2 linked regions of the Lepisosteus oculatus genome follow. The protein of the gene in region 1 interacts with the protein of each later gene in a pairwise test. Links are inferred from orthologs where the notes say so. Each region holds a gene or a part of one and is shown on either strand. Other genes may lie near its edges. The genes, in order: rab2a and tbc1d25.

The links.
Region 2: the proteins of rab2a (region 1) and tbc1d25 interact in binary tests that used the Homo sapiens proteins (3 or more experiments, as listed by UniProt). The link is inferred for Lepisosteus oculatus from reciprocal best matches to the Homo sapiens genes RAB2A and TBC1D25.

The regions. Positions count from the first base shown.
Region 1 is NC_090701.1:50,091,851-50,099,948, reverse strand, and holds the start of rab2a (ras-related protein Rab-2A), read right to left. Parts: upstream 3,082-8,098; 5' UTR 2,924-3,081; coding exon 2,878-2,923; intron 1-2,877.
Region 2 is NC_090697.1:77,793,402-77,800,954, forward strand, and holds the start of tbc1d25 (TBC1 domain family member 25), read left to right. Parts: upstream 1-4,381; 5' UTR 4,382-4,573; coding exon 4,574-4,618; intron 4,619-4,887; exon of another isoform or gene 4,888-5,081; intron 5,082-6,008; coding exon 6,009-6,118; intron 6,119-7,046; coding exon 7,047-7,201; intron 7,202-7,553. Other genes in the region: fkbpl (FK506-binding protein-like), read left to right, coding at 770-1,126, 1,945-2,655. UniProt on the Homo sapiens protein: Acts as a GTPase-activating protein specific for RAB33B. Involved in the regulation of autophagosome maturation, the process in which autophagosomes fuse with endosomes and lysosomes.

The sequences.
Region 1 (8,098 bases):
TTGTCTGATTTTCAGATGCTAAATAAGACTGTGATAAGGGGCGGTTTTATTATGGAAGTTGTATGGAGGAAGTCTGGAAGCAGCGCGTGATGAAACATGAGCTGAACTTGTGAAAATGTTCGGCCTCTTTTTTTTAAAGTATTCAAGCTCATTTCTTGAAACAGTATTTTAAAGCCTATTGAAAGAGTTTTTTAAAGAAAAGAGAGACTACTGAAACTTTTTCTAATGAATATCGAATTGGCAAAGGGCATGACCTCAGGACTTCAGTCTTAAATCTAGATTTAACTTTTCTAAAACAAATCAAAACTACATTTTCCTTTCTCTGCCTGCGTCCTCATCTTGTCCGATTCTCTGTCGCTCTGCCTCTCATTCCTCCTCCCTCTCCTCCTCTGGATCCAAGACAGTCACCACCGAGCTTCAGTTTCACGGTCGTCTCTTCCTCCTCTAAAATATTACACGCCACATCCTTTAAAACACACGCTGTCCCACAGAGCTTGCACTACTTCTCCCATTACAGCCAAGAAGTAAACGAGACTCACTGCAAAGGCTTGTCTGCCAGTCTGGCAGACACGTTCCAACCCAAGAGAGACTTAAAGTTGGTCATTGCACTGATCAAAGACTACTACTGGCTCCAGAATTCTACCAGGATCATTTGCCTTTAAATACAGATGCACAGCAGCATGCGTTACCAGCCCTTTCTTCAGCACACCGCCCTCGTTAAGGGCATGGAATGCCCTGCAGGGAAACCTGGAGGACATGCGCTAAGTCAAATCCTTTCTGCCGGTTACTATGGAAGACACTGAGCAACAGGAGCGCACCAGCTCTCCACACCCTTGCTGGAGTGCAGTCCCAGATGGATATTCCACATTGCATGAGCTTTGAACTGCAGTACACAGTACACCCACCACATTTCTACCCTCTGTGCAATATCACATGCAACATCTGAACCATTGCATTATAAAATAAGTATTAGGGAGCTGTACCAATTCAGCCTTGCTGACACAGGCCTTGTGTCAATGTCTGCAGTTACCATTTTGAGGTTAGGCCATTTAAATGACTCAATAACATTTAACTGTGAGGCACAACTTTGGTACTTCTCAGCAAACACAGAAAAATAAGACTAGGAAAGAGGGTGCTATGACAGGCAATAACATTTCGTTGAAGACCTGGGTTTAGCCATGTGTGAAAAATAAGTGGCGTTGTTGGATTGAGCAGGGGACACTTGTATGTGAGTTTACTTCATAAACCAAAGTTTGAGACCACAGCAGCTAATTACTTCACATGTACATCTTGTGAGAAACACAATCCGATAACTTCTCAGGACTCTGGGAAAAATAATTTTAAAATCTACAGCAAAATTAAAGACAACATTTATATTGGTAATGTATGAAACCTGCATTTATATTGTTGTGCAAAGGGTAGCAGTTAAATCAAAATTCTGCAAATACTGACCTGGACATTACTATTTTGACTGGTATGATAAAGAGTTTATAACCGATTAATAAACCAACATCATAACCACACGTACTGCCACCAGGAATGCAGCTCACTGATGTATAAAGTAAATGATTAAATAATTAAATATAATACTATTCTAAGTCACTTAAAACTTATTCTACCAAGTGGCAAAATTAGTACTGAATTAATTCATTTAGGACATGGTGAGGATAACAGGCTGTGCGCAAGTTTTACTTCAATCTTCCTATGTGCCAGTCTATAAAATAAATACATTCTTAAAAAACGTTCTTTCCTTATTTCCAGATAATAACGTCCATGTCTATAAAGAATAGTTTTGTATCTATATTTTAAGCAAATTCGCAAAACGTTGATTTGCAGGGGATGACATATGCGAAGATTATTTTTGAAGCGGATCTGTAGGTTTAAATTAGTCGGATGCCATCTAGGAAAGTATGTTATAACCTGTGATGCTGAGATGGTAAGTGCGTTAAGAGAGGGTTTCACAACGAACAAGAGAGCAAACTAACACGGGCTTTCCTCCCCGTTTCAGCTAACAGAAATATAGCTGAAGAAGGCTGAAACCCGGTCAAGGTGTCGCACACCGCCTAAGCAACCCAAAAGATGAAAGGGCATCTTTATCACGAAATGACCAGGGTCTAGCGAAGGCCCGGACTTTTGTCAAGCCAGCATATGCGAAACAACCCACGGAGCTCCCCTGACAGCTAGGAGAACTGCAAGGCCAGTTTTTTTATTATTTTCCTCCAACCTCCGATTATACTATTTATTCCCCGCAGGTGGAACAGTGTGTTGCAGGTGAGCTGGCATGCACAAATATAACCCCCCCATCACCACCTAGGCCTACAAAAAAAACCTGTCGCCGATGATTTACATAACCGAAAAGCAGAGTCAACCCGAAGGCTGACAGTCTGCAAAACCGCTGAAAACGCCATTTTCCCCCCCAAAGCGAAAACATTTCCTTCCCCTGCAGACGTTAACACGACGACGGGCAGCCGGCGATCTGCGGGCGGACTCGTCCAACAGTTGCCCGTCTAGCCCCCCAGAGAGGGCCGGCGCATCTTGCTACACGGGTCCGTCTTCGCCGGAGCCATTTTCGGGGAAAGGGTTATTTGGTGTTTGCAATGCAATTAGCCCCCACCTCCCCTCCACCCTCGCCGCAATCGCAATGGAAAGACACAAGCAGGCCGGTGCCGAGGCGGCTGCTGTCAATTCACCTGCCAAATGGCAATTATGTCACCTTAGATCAGTTATTTTAACGGGGGGGGAAGAAACTAAGCAGCCCTCCCACCCTAGCGTTCCTGTGCTTTTACCACGTCATTGACTCCAACACTGCGGAAATAAGAGAGAGACGTAAATGTCTCTCTCTCTCTTTTCCTACGCCGTCACACAGCGGCTGCTCACCCGTGTCTCCGATAATGATGTATTTGAAGAGATACGCGTATGCCATGGCCGCTGGGATGCTGTTTCTGCCCGGGTCTTGTGCTTTGCTCCCTCGCTGTGTTACTCGTTCAAGCTGTGGAGAGAGGAAGTGGCGGGGAAAAAGCCTGTGCTTTCTCTCAGTCTCACTCCGCTTCACCAGCCTCTTTCTCTTCGGCGACCAGAAGGAACAATAAACACCTCCGAGCTCCGGGCTGCCCACGTCACACGTTCCGCCTTCGCCACGCACGCAGAACACGCTCACATTGCTGCGCCCGGAAGTGCTGACATTGCTGCGCCCGAACCCGTATGTTAAGACGAGCGCCGACTGTCTGCTGTCTCTGTAGCCGTGCCGGCGCTAGTGCGCTGAGAATCTGTTTCACTGCTTTTTTGTTTAATTCTACATACTTACCCGCTTTGTTACTGACATCGCGTATGCCAAAGGTACAACACACAAAAATCCTATTCGAAATACAAGATGTATTTATCATGTGCCTTGTTGTTGAAATTAATTTGGCAATGCTTGAGTATTGGAATAATTCACCTATTACAGAGAGTTTAGACATACCAAAAAAGGCACGCAGGTTTTAAAACTTTACTTTTTGCCCTGTTCAAGGTTGGAAAGGTGTTCAGCAAAAAATGCTGAAATGTGTAAGAAAAGAATTCGTGATGTTAGGGATGAAGTCTGCATGTACTTCACAAACAAGACGTTTTAAAGTTTGTAGTCTCTGCAAACTTCCAAAAGTTCATTTGGAAGTGCCCAATGGAAAAAAAAACTGCCTGCTTCCACAAAAACTTAAAATAAAGTATGATATTAGAAACTATACTGGTAACATTAATGATTGCACAGCTTTGACAGTATTAGTGAATTAAAGAAGTCACAGGATTTTGTCATGCTGTCATGATAATATACATTTACTGTTGTGCTATAAGTTCTATAAAATTCTTCATTTCTACTGAGTAAAAATAATTCTGTGATATTTGATCAAATGCTTCTAACTTTTAAAGAATTTTCACAGGCTGACTCCTTAAGGGTGAGATTTACAGCTCCACAGTGTGAGATTCTGTAGAAAAAGCTAGTGCTGAAACCTATTCAGCTTCTGGGGTGAAACGATTACCTGTTCCAGTGCCCTGAATATTAATTATTTTTTTAATATTCACTTTAATTTCACTTTACTTGCAGGGAAGGTGTATATGAGTGCAATTTATGAAATTTAAGGACCTATGCCTGTGATTGTGAGATGACTTCAGAATGTGTGTTTCATTCTGGATATATGAGAAATCAGAGTCCTGGCACTTTGAGCTGTGCTTCTAGAAAAAATGGTAAACACATCCAGAACATGTATCTTATCTTATCTAAAGATGTAAGTTAGGATTTATTTGGGTTTTGAACCAGACACAAAGCGTTTGAGCAGGAGATAAATGGTTTCACACATAAATGTAACTAAATAATCTAAACAAAATTTAATAGAAGTAATAAACAACAGTGGTCAGATTTGGTATTCAAATGTTCAAACCGGGGAGAAACTTTGTTAAGCAGTTTACCCAACTGCATTGCTGAAAAGCCTTTTATCACCCCAAATTCAGACACAATTTGACTATGCCTCTGATTCTCCACTAGTTCTCAGACTATACTAGCTTATCCTGTCCTGCCATGTTCTCGGGAACTTAGCACAAACTGATCAAGTGCCTCACATTTGTTTATCTCAGTTCAAAAATACTGAGAGCATGGCACACACGGATGTAAAACCTCTAATCAAGCTTGCCAGGCACAATATCATGTCATGGCACACATTATTCCCTAAGCCTGTCTCACTATAAAAGGAGCAGTGGGTAGTTCTTGTTTTCAACCTGATTTTAGATGAAATAATACACCACATCAGGTTGCAAAATCTGGGCTTAGCCTTTTATGGTGTAGGAGATAATCCATGCCAATCATTTCTCCCTAAAAATAAGTTTCCTCGGACCTCCATCCCCATACAGCATTTTTCTGGGTGCTGCAACTTCCCAGACACCCTCAATAGCTGATTATCCCATTTTGGCCGCAACCTAAAACCGCCACTACTTGGGATCTTTGGAGTCTTCAATTAAGGCAACTGGAGTGTGATCCCGACTTGGGCACCACTCATTGATTGTGGCTGGGGACCATGTCTATCCGAAAAAGCATCCCAGCACGCTCTTTTTCCCACCCTCTTGCCCAATGCAGCCCATGTCCTGCCTGCCAGGGCTGTAGCTAATCCCTGTCATTGTAGTTCTGGCTGTTGGAGTTTGCACTGAGTCTCTGCACAACTCGCCTATCATGCGGGCTGCTTTTTTTATATTGCATGCCATTGCGATCAGTGTAGCACCAGCTGTTTCGCCATGACTTCTCCTCACCCGTGGGCTACCTTGGTGTTCTCACAGGATACACCTTTAGCTGTATCCTTCTGTGGTGTTGATCATGGCTGTCTGTACTATTCCTCTTTCCCTGAATCTCAGTTCTCTTTCATGAGGATCTCTACTAGACTTTCTAATTTGTCTGTTTTTTTTTCATTTTTCTCGTCTTGGCTTGAAGCTCTTAACCCTGCCATTGGTCACCAGAGAGACCTGGATTTCCCGGATTGTGTCGTCTGCATAGGGTCCTGGAAGAATGCTTTCGTTACAGTTCCATTCCTCATCAACAGTAGAAAGCCGAAAAAGTCCTGGCCAGCTAATCTCACCCTACTGTCATGGTCACACAGCTCCTTGTGCATCTTGCATTGCAGAATCCCAGTTACAGCAAGAGACAGAGTGACAGCCAATAAGGTCAACCAGAAGCGTAAGCCTAATGTGATGGAGTCAGCAAACACAGTCTGGGCTGGGGCAGTCATGAGGAGTGAAGGGGACGGAAAGGGGATTGGCTTGGCACCTGTCCCAGCAGCGCTTAAAGTAGTGGGAAAGGCCATTGACGCCACAACCTTTCTCTTCACAAACCCAGAGGAGGAAGCCATTGCCCTGTCATTGATGACACCTGTCCCTGAGACTCCATCAGGTAATGAAGTAAGTCACCTGCACAACGACACTGAATTCCCCGTATTCTCTGTATCACTGTGTATTACTCTATTTACTGTATTGCTCTGTATTACTCTGTATATGCCAGCAGCCATATCACCCTGCAACTCACATCTGGCAGCCCACTGAAGCTCAGCAGGTGTGAGCCTGGTCAGTACCTGCCAGCCAGGCGGAGTGCTGGCACTGTGGCTAAGGATCTGCACCTGTGGCTGGAAGGTTGCCGGTTCAAATCCTGCAACCGGCAGAGGAATCTAACTCCATTGGGCCCCTGAACAAGGCCCTTAACCCCAGGTGCTATAGGGGTGCTATACAATCTGACCCCAAGCTTCTCTCTCCCTGTCTGTATCTTATGGAGAGCAAGCTGGGGTATGTGAAAAGACAAATTCCTAACGCAGGAAATTGTATATGGCTAATAAAGTGATCTTATCTTATCTTACCTGGATGAGAGACCTCCTGGGAAAACCTAAGGTTGCTTCTGGAAGAGGTGTTAGTGGGGCCAGCAGGGGGCGCTTACTCTGTGGTCTACGTGGGTCTTAATGCCCCAGTATAGTGACGGGGAAACTATACTGTAAAAAGGCGCTGTCCTTCGGATGAGACTTAAAACTGAGGTCCTGACTCTCTGTGGTCATTAAAAATCCCAGGGCGTTTCTTGAAAAGAGTAGGGGTATAACCAAAATCCCCATCTATGAACTGGCTTCATCACTCTGTTCTCCTCAGTGTGTGGTGAGTGTTCTGGCGCACTATGGCTGCCGTTGCATCATCCAGGCGGGACTGGACATAGGTGGTGGTGGAGGAGAGTACCCATTATCCGTAAAGTGCTTTGAGTTATGTATCAAGAAAAGCGCTATATAAGTGTAAGCAATTATTATTATTATAGTTGGCTAGTGACACGACCCGGAACTGAATCCATGATCACAGAGTTCAGCTGTATTAAAAATAATGGAATTTCTTAGTGCCTTAAAAAGATTGTGTTGATTGGGAATGTACATGTATATTTGTATGTATTTCTGTTTCTATAGTATATTTTGTAATGTCTGTAATCACAGATAATCAGAGACCAAAAATAGAATTCTGGGTCACATTTTGCAGGGACCAAAATAGCAGGAAATACAGAACCAGTCTGCATGTGTGAGAAAAAAACACAAATGTATTCCACGTTCCAGGACTAAGAGAAAATTCCAAAGCTATAAAATGCAAATGGTATCAGAGAAAGCCTTCAGAGGACTTCCTCTCTTAACCTTAAGCTGTGGGTTAGTAGAGGAATGAGAAAATACAGGAAGGTAAGCGAAACATAAAAGGAAGATTTGTAAGATGAAAGGACTTGTAAAGTTAAAAGGAAAGTAAAGAAGTAGGTATAAGAGGAAACAGAAAAGGAAAAGAAGAGGTATGATAACCAAACCATATAACAGTTATCTATTTCTCATATTTTGGATACTGTATATTCAGAAGAAGAGACTTTTGATGTGTTAAAATCATTTAAGTCGTTAAATATGGACGTAAATGTAACTCAAATGTGTTGTTCCATGTTGGGTTGAACTAAGAGATAAAGAATGTTTTGTGTTAATTGAGATGAAAGTGTTGGGGCAGTTTTCAAAATGTCTGCCACTGGCTGTTAACAGAAGAAGGACACTAATCTTCAACTAACACATCCAGAAATAGAAATTGGGGAATTTTCAGAATGAAGTAGACTATGTATACAACATACACAGTAATGCTGGATTTGTGTTATGTTTTTTGGGCTGAAACCCAGGTCTTAACAAACTTCGATGCATCTATCAATCAGGAAATATAGATTACAACTGAAAAATCCAGTGCTTCCGTTCCAAGGAAGACACCTCTAGCAAACTAACAGCTGTCATGAAAACTGGGATTTGTAATTTGAGATTGTTGACTGGGCAGACATTTTGAAGTGAATGCAGGGATAATAGTTTTTTTTTCTACTTTGCAATCAAATACAATTTCAGTTTAAGGTGGTGGTGCTTCTTTCTCCCTAAAGGATTTTGCGAGTATTGTAGCCTTTTTTATTGTATAGATTGTGTTATTTAAGGGGCTTACACGGATAACATTGCATAAAACACAAAATTTGCTTTTGCTTTTAAAAGCATTCTTGCTGTTGTATTTGATTGTGACATTTACAAACTCATCATACAATATGCACAAGGGAGAAAAATAACTC
Region 2 (7,553 bases), on another chromosome or scaffold:
CACATTGGTGGTGGTGGAGGGGAGTCCCCATTACCTGTAAAGCGCTTTGAGTGGAGTGTCCAGAAAAGCGCTATATAAGTGTAAGCAATTATTATTATTATTATTATTATTACTCGCTCAGCAAGGTCGCTCGGTCCTGTGTTTCTGTCTTTCCGAGTCTGGCCGCTAGATGTCAGTGCGGTGACGCCGGTTGCCGTTGCTAGGAGCCACGACAGCTGAGTTCCTGTTGTCCGTGTCGACGTCACCGGAAGTGCGGCGACAGGGAAATTGCACGGTGCTGCAGGGAGACGGCGGCAGGTGAAGATTGGAGTTAAATTCATTTCATTCAAAATGCAGAATGGTTATTGTAAAAAGGGAGGATTTAATTAGGCTATATTCCTAGCCGCTTGTGCACATTTGAGTGAGTTTTAGTATCAGAGATAAAATGATGAGCACAAAACAGAGAAAAAGTTCTAATTGGTGTTCTGTAGAGTATATGCAGTCAGTTGTTTTTCCCGATCTATCCCTTCTTGTGATAAATGCTGAAGACACCGTTGCTGAATTACTTGCCCTCAATGAGCTGGCGCTTAGCTTAGTAGCAGCAGCGATCAGTTACTAACGGGCTCCCAGCGACGAGGCGTACAGCCTCACATTCACCCCTGTGGACTGCAGCCGTGCAGGTCTCGTCTGGGCTGGGCCGGCTCCGGTGTGCGGGTACCCCGGCCAGGCTCTCAGTGTGCTGCGCTTGATCCCTCTGTTTCCCGGGCCGCTGCCGCGGGTCGCCCTGAGGATGCAGGGGAGAGGAGCTGCCAGTTCGTGGGTCTCGGTCACCCCCAGCGGGTGGAGGGCGGTGAGCAGGAGGACTCTGGAGAGGGGATCGGGCGTTGAGACCCCCAAGCTGGGCTCGGTGTGCCGAGTCAGGGTCCAGTCCCTGGCAGCGGATGATCCGGGGGCGCAGGCCGACAGGCCGACTGGTGTGGACGCCCAGCAGCGTCAGGAGGACACCCACACTGCGGGGCTCGACGGGAGCCCCTCCTCTGTCCTGCAGGTTCCCCTCAGCGAGTGGGTCGAGCTGCGGCTGGGAGAGGGACAGTGCGACGTCATCGAGGGCTGTCTGGAGAGCATGAGGGCTGGAGGGGTGTGTGAGGTGAGGAGTCCGTCCCCACCAGGACTGACTGCAGGGTCTCTAGCTGGAGGAGTCCGTCCCCAGCAGGACTGACTGCAGGGTCTCTAGCTGGAGGAGTCCGTCCCCAGCAGGACTGACTGCAGGGTCTCTAGCTGGAGGGGTGTGTGATGTGCACAGACAGTCTGGTCCTTCTATTGACAAAGAGAGGATTGCAAGTTTGTATTTTCCAGGTGTGTCTCTGTTATTTGAAATAAGGAAACATTTGTATTTAAATTGCATTGTTTTTATAGTTCATTCCCCATGGGTGTGTGCTTGTTCTAGCAGTGTACATTAACCTGGTAGGAATTATTTGCTCCTTTGAATATGAAAAACATTTGTCATGGAAAGACAGATCGAGGTGTTTGTAAGTCATGGTAACACACGAGTGCACAGTGATAACCGGACCTCTGATATTTAGAATAATGTCTGACATTGAGGATGAATGTGTTAAAAGGTGCACAGACAGATTATCTGGGTGTTAAAGAGGAGGGCAGTCTGTTCACTGGTATTCCTGCTTTCTACTGTAGTTGTAGGCTGTTCCGGTCGTGCTGTGCACTGGGATTCCTCTTTCAAACGGAAGCACTTGTGTGTTTGACTGGGACTAAGAAAACTCGGGGATCTGTGTCCTGTTCTGAGTGGATCAGCTTCTTTCATTCCTTTAGACAGAATGCTGACTAGTCAGAGTCACAATTAGCTTTTGATTTACCTGCTTTCAAACGGTAAATAATCAAACTCTAATTCTTCACAGCGCAGCCGATCGTTGTTAACCTTGTGTCCACACTCTTCCTCTGAAACCACAGCTGCTGGTGACAGCCCTGGACAGCAACACGGGACCCGAGGGGCGAGTGGCGCAGCGGGGCGGAGGTCAGGGGGCGCAGCCTGGGTGGCGGGACGGGGCGCCTCCTCCCCCCTGCCAGCGCCTCCGAGTGGAGCTGCAGTCCTTCAGCCCCGGCCGGGAGTCCTGGGAGATGAGCCTGCCGGAGAAGTGGGCCTGGATCAGGGCTCACAAGCAGAGGGGCGGCGAGAGGTTCCGGGCGGGGGACGTGTGGGGGGCCGCCGACTGCTACGGCAGGGCGCTGCGGCTGCTGGCCACCCTGAGCAGGGGGGGGGCGGGAGCCAGCGGTGCGCTGGGCTCGAGCCCGGACGATCAGGGGGACGAGGACAAAGCCACCGAGGGCCAGATCGTCTCGGAGGGGGAGTACCGGAGGGTCAGGTCCGAGCTTCACGCCAACATGTCCCTGTGCCAACTCAAGCTCGGCCAGCCTCACAAGGCCAGGGTCAGCGCTGCTCAGGCCACGGAGCTGGATCCGGCCAGCACCAAGGCCTGGTTCCGCCTGGGGCTGGCTTGCTCCGAGCTGGGGGAGCTGGATGCGGCCAGGACCGGACTCACAAGGGTTCTAGAGCTGCAGCCCGGCTCGGCGTCGGCCCTGAGGGCTCTGAGAGACATCGAGGCCAGAGAGAAGGCGATCAGCTGCCAGCTGGGCCGCGCGCTCAGCAAGATGTTCACCTAGAGGAGACGGGTGCAGGCAGGCGGCAGCCCGTCACACAGACGCTGGAGCATCGCCATTGGCTTAGCGTTGAGCTCCTGTACAGATCACACAGACTGCAAACCGCAAATACCACAAAAGAACAAGTAAAGGGTTTTTCCATGTTGAAAAGAGAAGAAAAGAAACGCAACGTTTCAGCTGTGGAGCCTTCTTCAGGTGTCGCACACACCTCCATGGAATAAGTGTTTACTTGTTCCTTTGCAGACTATGCATGCTGACGCATATCCCTGCTTGAGCTACTTCAGCGAGTACTGCATTAATGTGTCCTGTTTAGCACGAGCAGCGCTGTTTGCATTGTTTGTGTCATATGTAATGAGTCTCTCAGTCTACAAGGCCGCTTACAGTGGAGGTGTTAAACAGTCCTGTGTGCTCCAGTGAGTGGCTCTAGAGAAGTGTGGGACAGGACTGCATCCTGCTGAGCCCCCACTGCTGGGCACTGCTGACGGAGAGACTCTTCTGATCCAGTCCAACACTGAAATATGCCACACTGCTTACAAAGACGTTGAAAGTAATTAGAAAGTGTCTGTCTTTCTGCATGGAGCATTACAAACACCCAGAGATACAGTCCTGTATAAGGTGCCATTACTGGTATACTTTTATAACTGTGGTAGTGCAGTTAACCTTGTGTGTAATAAAGATATCGATTGGAGCTAAGACTTGAGTAATTTTCTTTATTATAAGTGGGTTGAATTAGAGTCACGGAAGGACGCGTTCATGGAGAGTTTGTAAGTGTGCAGTTTGTGTTAACGTGTTCAGGTGCTGCAGCGCTGTGCCCTGCTGCAGTGAGGTTGGGCTTGGGGTCACAGGCTGGTGGGGATCTTCCTGAACCAGCTGCTGGGCGTGAGGCTGGCGTGATGAGGCACTGGGACTGGGACTGGGACAGGAAGCTGTGTTTGTGCTCGTCATGGCGGGGCTGCTGGACGAGTGCAGGAAGCCCCGGGACCCGACCACCCGAACCCGCCGGACAGTCACAGCAGCGGCAGTCTGTACACAAACGCGCACAGAGCCCTTCGGAAAGATCAACGCGCGTTCTGCGCCATCGGTGAACCAGATCTCCCCCGCAGCCCAACATGCCAGCAAATTGGCTTCTGATGCCGGTTTCGATGCAATGTTTCATATTTACAATTGATAAAATATACCCTTCGATATCGGATCAGTTATTTCAACAATAAAGCAGTGTTCAGTCTTTCTGTTTCTAACTGCACACCAGAGCAATCTGAAGGAGAAACTGCAGGAGCTCCTCTGAGCTGATGTCCAGGTGTCCGTGTTTCTGGGTCTTTCCCAGAAGACCACTGGGAGCCGCTCCTGTCCCGGACAGAGTCTGAGTCTCATTTCCCCTGTCTCTGCTTCTGCATATTCTTGTCAGAAAAATAAACATCGATCCTTTCTACTCTAAAGACAGCTTTAAGCTTTGCTTAAACTTCCAAAGGTCCCGGTCAGTATTTCTGTGATTGAAAGTGTCGGTATGGTAATGACTGTGATTCTTTTAGAAAGTCAGTTCTGAGACAGGTGTAGTATAGAGGTAACAGCAATTCTGTAGACTCAGGGGCAGCTGGTTCAGGTGTGTGACTACAGGGCTGTCATGCGGGCTGACAAGGACTGGAGTCTCAGTCCACGTGTTTGCGTCGGGAGCTCCGTCCCTTTAAACCCTCGGCCCGCGCGCGCGCCGCGGTTCCTGAATGATGTAATGCCAGTGACGTCACATCCTGGAGAGCGAGGAGGAGGCGGCCCGACGCAAACAGCTGTGGGCCAACATGACACAGTGAGGTTTCTGTTTTCAAAAGAAGGAGAAAAAAAAAACCCACGGAATTAAGGAGCCGGCAGGTTAAAGAGCGAATCGAGATCAGCATCGTCGCGGCGGTGAGCGCGGCCGCTGGGCGCCATGGCGGGCGAGGAGGAGAGGGGGGTCGTGCGAGTCCGGGTAAAGGTGAGAGTCGCCCCGACAATAACTCGCAGTGAGCCCGGGGCAGGCGCCCCCCGCAGCACCCCGAGAGCTGCTGCTGTCCAGCCCGGCCGGCTGTGGCGTGTTGGCTCTGGGCTGTTGTTGTGACCCCATTTGACAGAGGCGACAGCCGCGGTCTCCGGTCAGCCGGTTATACGGTTATGTCTGGAGTGAGCGTCAGGTAAGGCAAGTCAGGGGGAAAAAAAGAGGACCGTTTTAAGTGAATAAGCTGCCATTTTGTCGTTTTGTACCAGCGGCCACATAAAAACGAGGCAGGGCGCGCTTGTCCTGGACACGGAGGGCGAAAGACGACGCAGCCCGCAGTCCTGGGCTGTGCGCGGCGGTGGGGGTCGCCAGCTGCCCGGCTGGCCCTCCGCGGGTCTGGACGAACGGGCAGCTGTGCGGTTGAATTCGGCCCCGGGTACTCCTGAGCAAACTGCCCCTGGAAGTAAGAGCTCAACGCTTTCCTTCTGCGGCCGTGCAGACGAGCAGAGCTGCTCTTGTGTCCGGGAGACTGGACCTGACCCGGCGCAGCGGGGAGCCGGACCGGGGTCAGGTGTCAACAGGGCCCCCTTGTCTTTGTGTCGCTGCACGTGGTACATCCTAGGACAGGTGTTGCCTTGGCAGAAGAGAATATACGGTGCTAAATGAGAGTCAGCTGTGCTTTGAGTTGTGGTTTTAATCAGCGGTGACCCGCAGGGAGACAAACCCAGGACATCCTGACAGGAGTTCGCCTGCAGGTTTGTCTCTTTGCCAAAGGCCAGTCGTGTAGGGCTAGAGCAGACCTTGCTGGCTCTGGCTTGTCTGAGCTGCGCTGCCTTCTCTCCCTCTATGTCCTCTTGTCTCTCCTTACAGCTGTTTATCCAGACATTTTCTAACCTCTGTATCCAATTCAGGGGCGTGGGGGGGGGCAGGAGTGTATCCTGGCAAATGGGCGCAAGTCAGGACACCAGTCCGTCACAGCGCTGACGCACAGAGACACACACACTCGCACCAGGACTGGTGTTCTCAGAAGCCAATTTACCACTTGCATGTCTTTGGACTGTGGGGAAACAACCCACACAAACTTGAGGAGAACATACTAACTCCACACAGGTTGTACCCCAGATCTGAAATTGGCTCCGGGCCTCAGCGCTGTGAGGCAGCAGTGCTCACCACTGTTCCATTGTGCAGCTGTTCAGTGGTATGAAAATGTATTTGCATGTTTCATGCTTTCCTAAATGGGTATACTTAGCTGGGTTGAGTAACACCATTTCTACATTGCAGACCGTTTTGACCGAGTACCTCTCTTGCAAGACGGCGCACGTGAACTGTGCTTGTTTCGCTCTCTCACTCGGCCGGAGCCCCCCTGACTGTGTCTCTCTCTCCCTGGCAGAAGTGTGAGGGTGTCCTGCCTGCGGAGTACCGCTCCTTCGCTGTGGACCCCCAGATCACCTCCCTGGAAGTGCTGCAGCACATCCTCATCCGGGCCTTTGAGCTCAACGGGTCAGCAGGGGGCGCTCGGGGCGAGGGGGCAGGGAGAGGGTCTGTGTGTATGAGGTGTTGGGGAACCCAGCGGATCTCAGAACAAAAGACAGTTTGCAGATAAGAGGAAGGCATTTGGCTCCTCTGCCCCGTCTGTTTTTTGGAAGTTTAAATATGACCTGATCCGGGCGTATCTCGGAAGAAATAATTATCGTTTTTCCTGCTCCTCACATCCCTTTGTGTGGAGTATTCTCGGATGCGAATGTACTTGCGTCCCCTGGTTCAGTGCTGGTTCTGATTGAGTCACTGGGCTGGCAGTGACGTGCAGAAGAGCAGAGTTTGCCTGCGCTCCCTAGTGAGCTCCGTCTTCAGTGAGCTGTAGGTCCCGGAGATTCCAGCCCGTCTGGGAGAACAAGCTCCCAGATGGAAATGAGGCTGCTCCAGCAGTGCGGACAGCTCCGCCTGCCCTGTCCCGCACAGCACAACACCCGGAGCTGAAACCCACTCTGGAACAGTGAGCTCCAGGGACACCGATTGTGTCAGATTTTTTAAGTTAATACATTTTTGGTAGTTAAATAATTAATCATTATAGATATGTTTATAAATGTTAAATGTTGGTTAATTAAGTATTGGTAGAAACTAAAGCTAATCTCTTCAAAACTGTACTTTCTTGTACTCTGTTGCATATGACAGAGTAGATCTTTTTACAGTTAACTACTGTGCAAAGAGAAACCGTTATCACCAGTGTCTATTGCACTGGTGTTACTCTCTCTTACAGGAAACACGTTAACGTGAGTCAGAGTTAAACGCCTTAAGTTGGGTATTGGGCTGAAATTGTTGCTGTGCTTCAGGGCTGAGGTCTCTATGGCATGTTCAGATTGAATTGTTCTGGGGTGTGCAGTGCCCTGCAGCGTGACTGAAGCTCGCTCTCTCCATTACGATCGTTCAGGAAACGGAATTTTGGGATCAGCTATCTGTCGCGGGACAAGCAGGGGGTGGAGGCGTACCTGTCGCTCATGTCGGACTGGGACCTGGACGCGGCCTTCGTCAGCGCTGCCAAGCCCTACCTGCAGCTCAAAATCGAGATCAAGCCCTCCGAAGACAGTGAGAGGCGTCTTCTGCTTGTGTTCGCTTGGCACTTTCTGCCTTTGATTTTGTTAAAAAAAAACCTCCATAGAAAAGCGTCATTTCTTTGTATTTGTGATCCAGTCTCCCGCAACCAGCACGTTGATCTTCTTAGACCTTTATTGATTTTTTTCAGTTAATTTACGAGAACGGTTTTAGAAAATCCTGAGATTTGAGCATGTAATAAGCACAATATAATCCTTTGTCTCTTTGAGACGTTAATACCCAGTGTGAATTGTTGAAATAAATGTAGCACAGCCTGAACTGCCCTCGTGCACATAGTGGTGTGTAAGAGGAGTGGATTACCGGTGCTGCACGCTGTTCGGGGCCG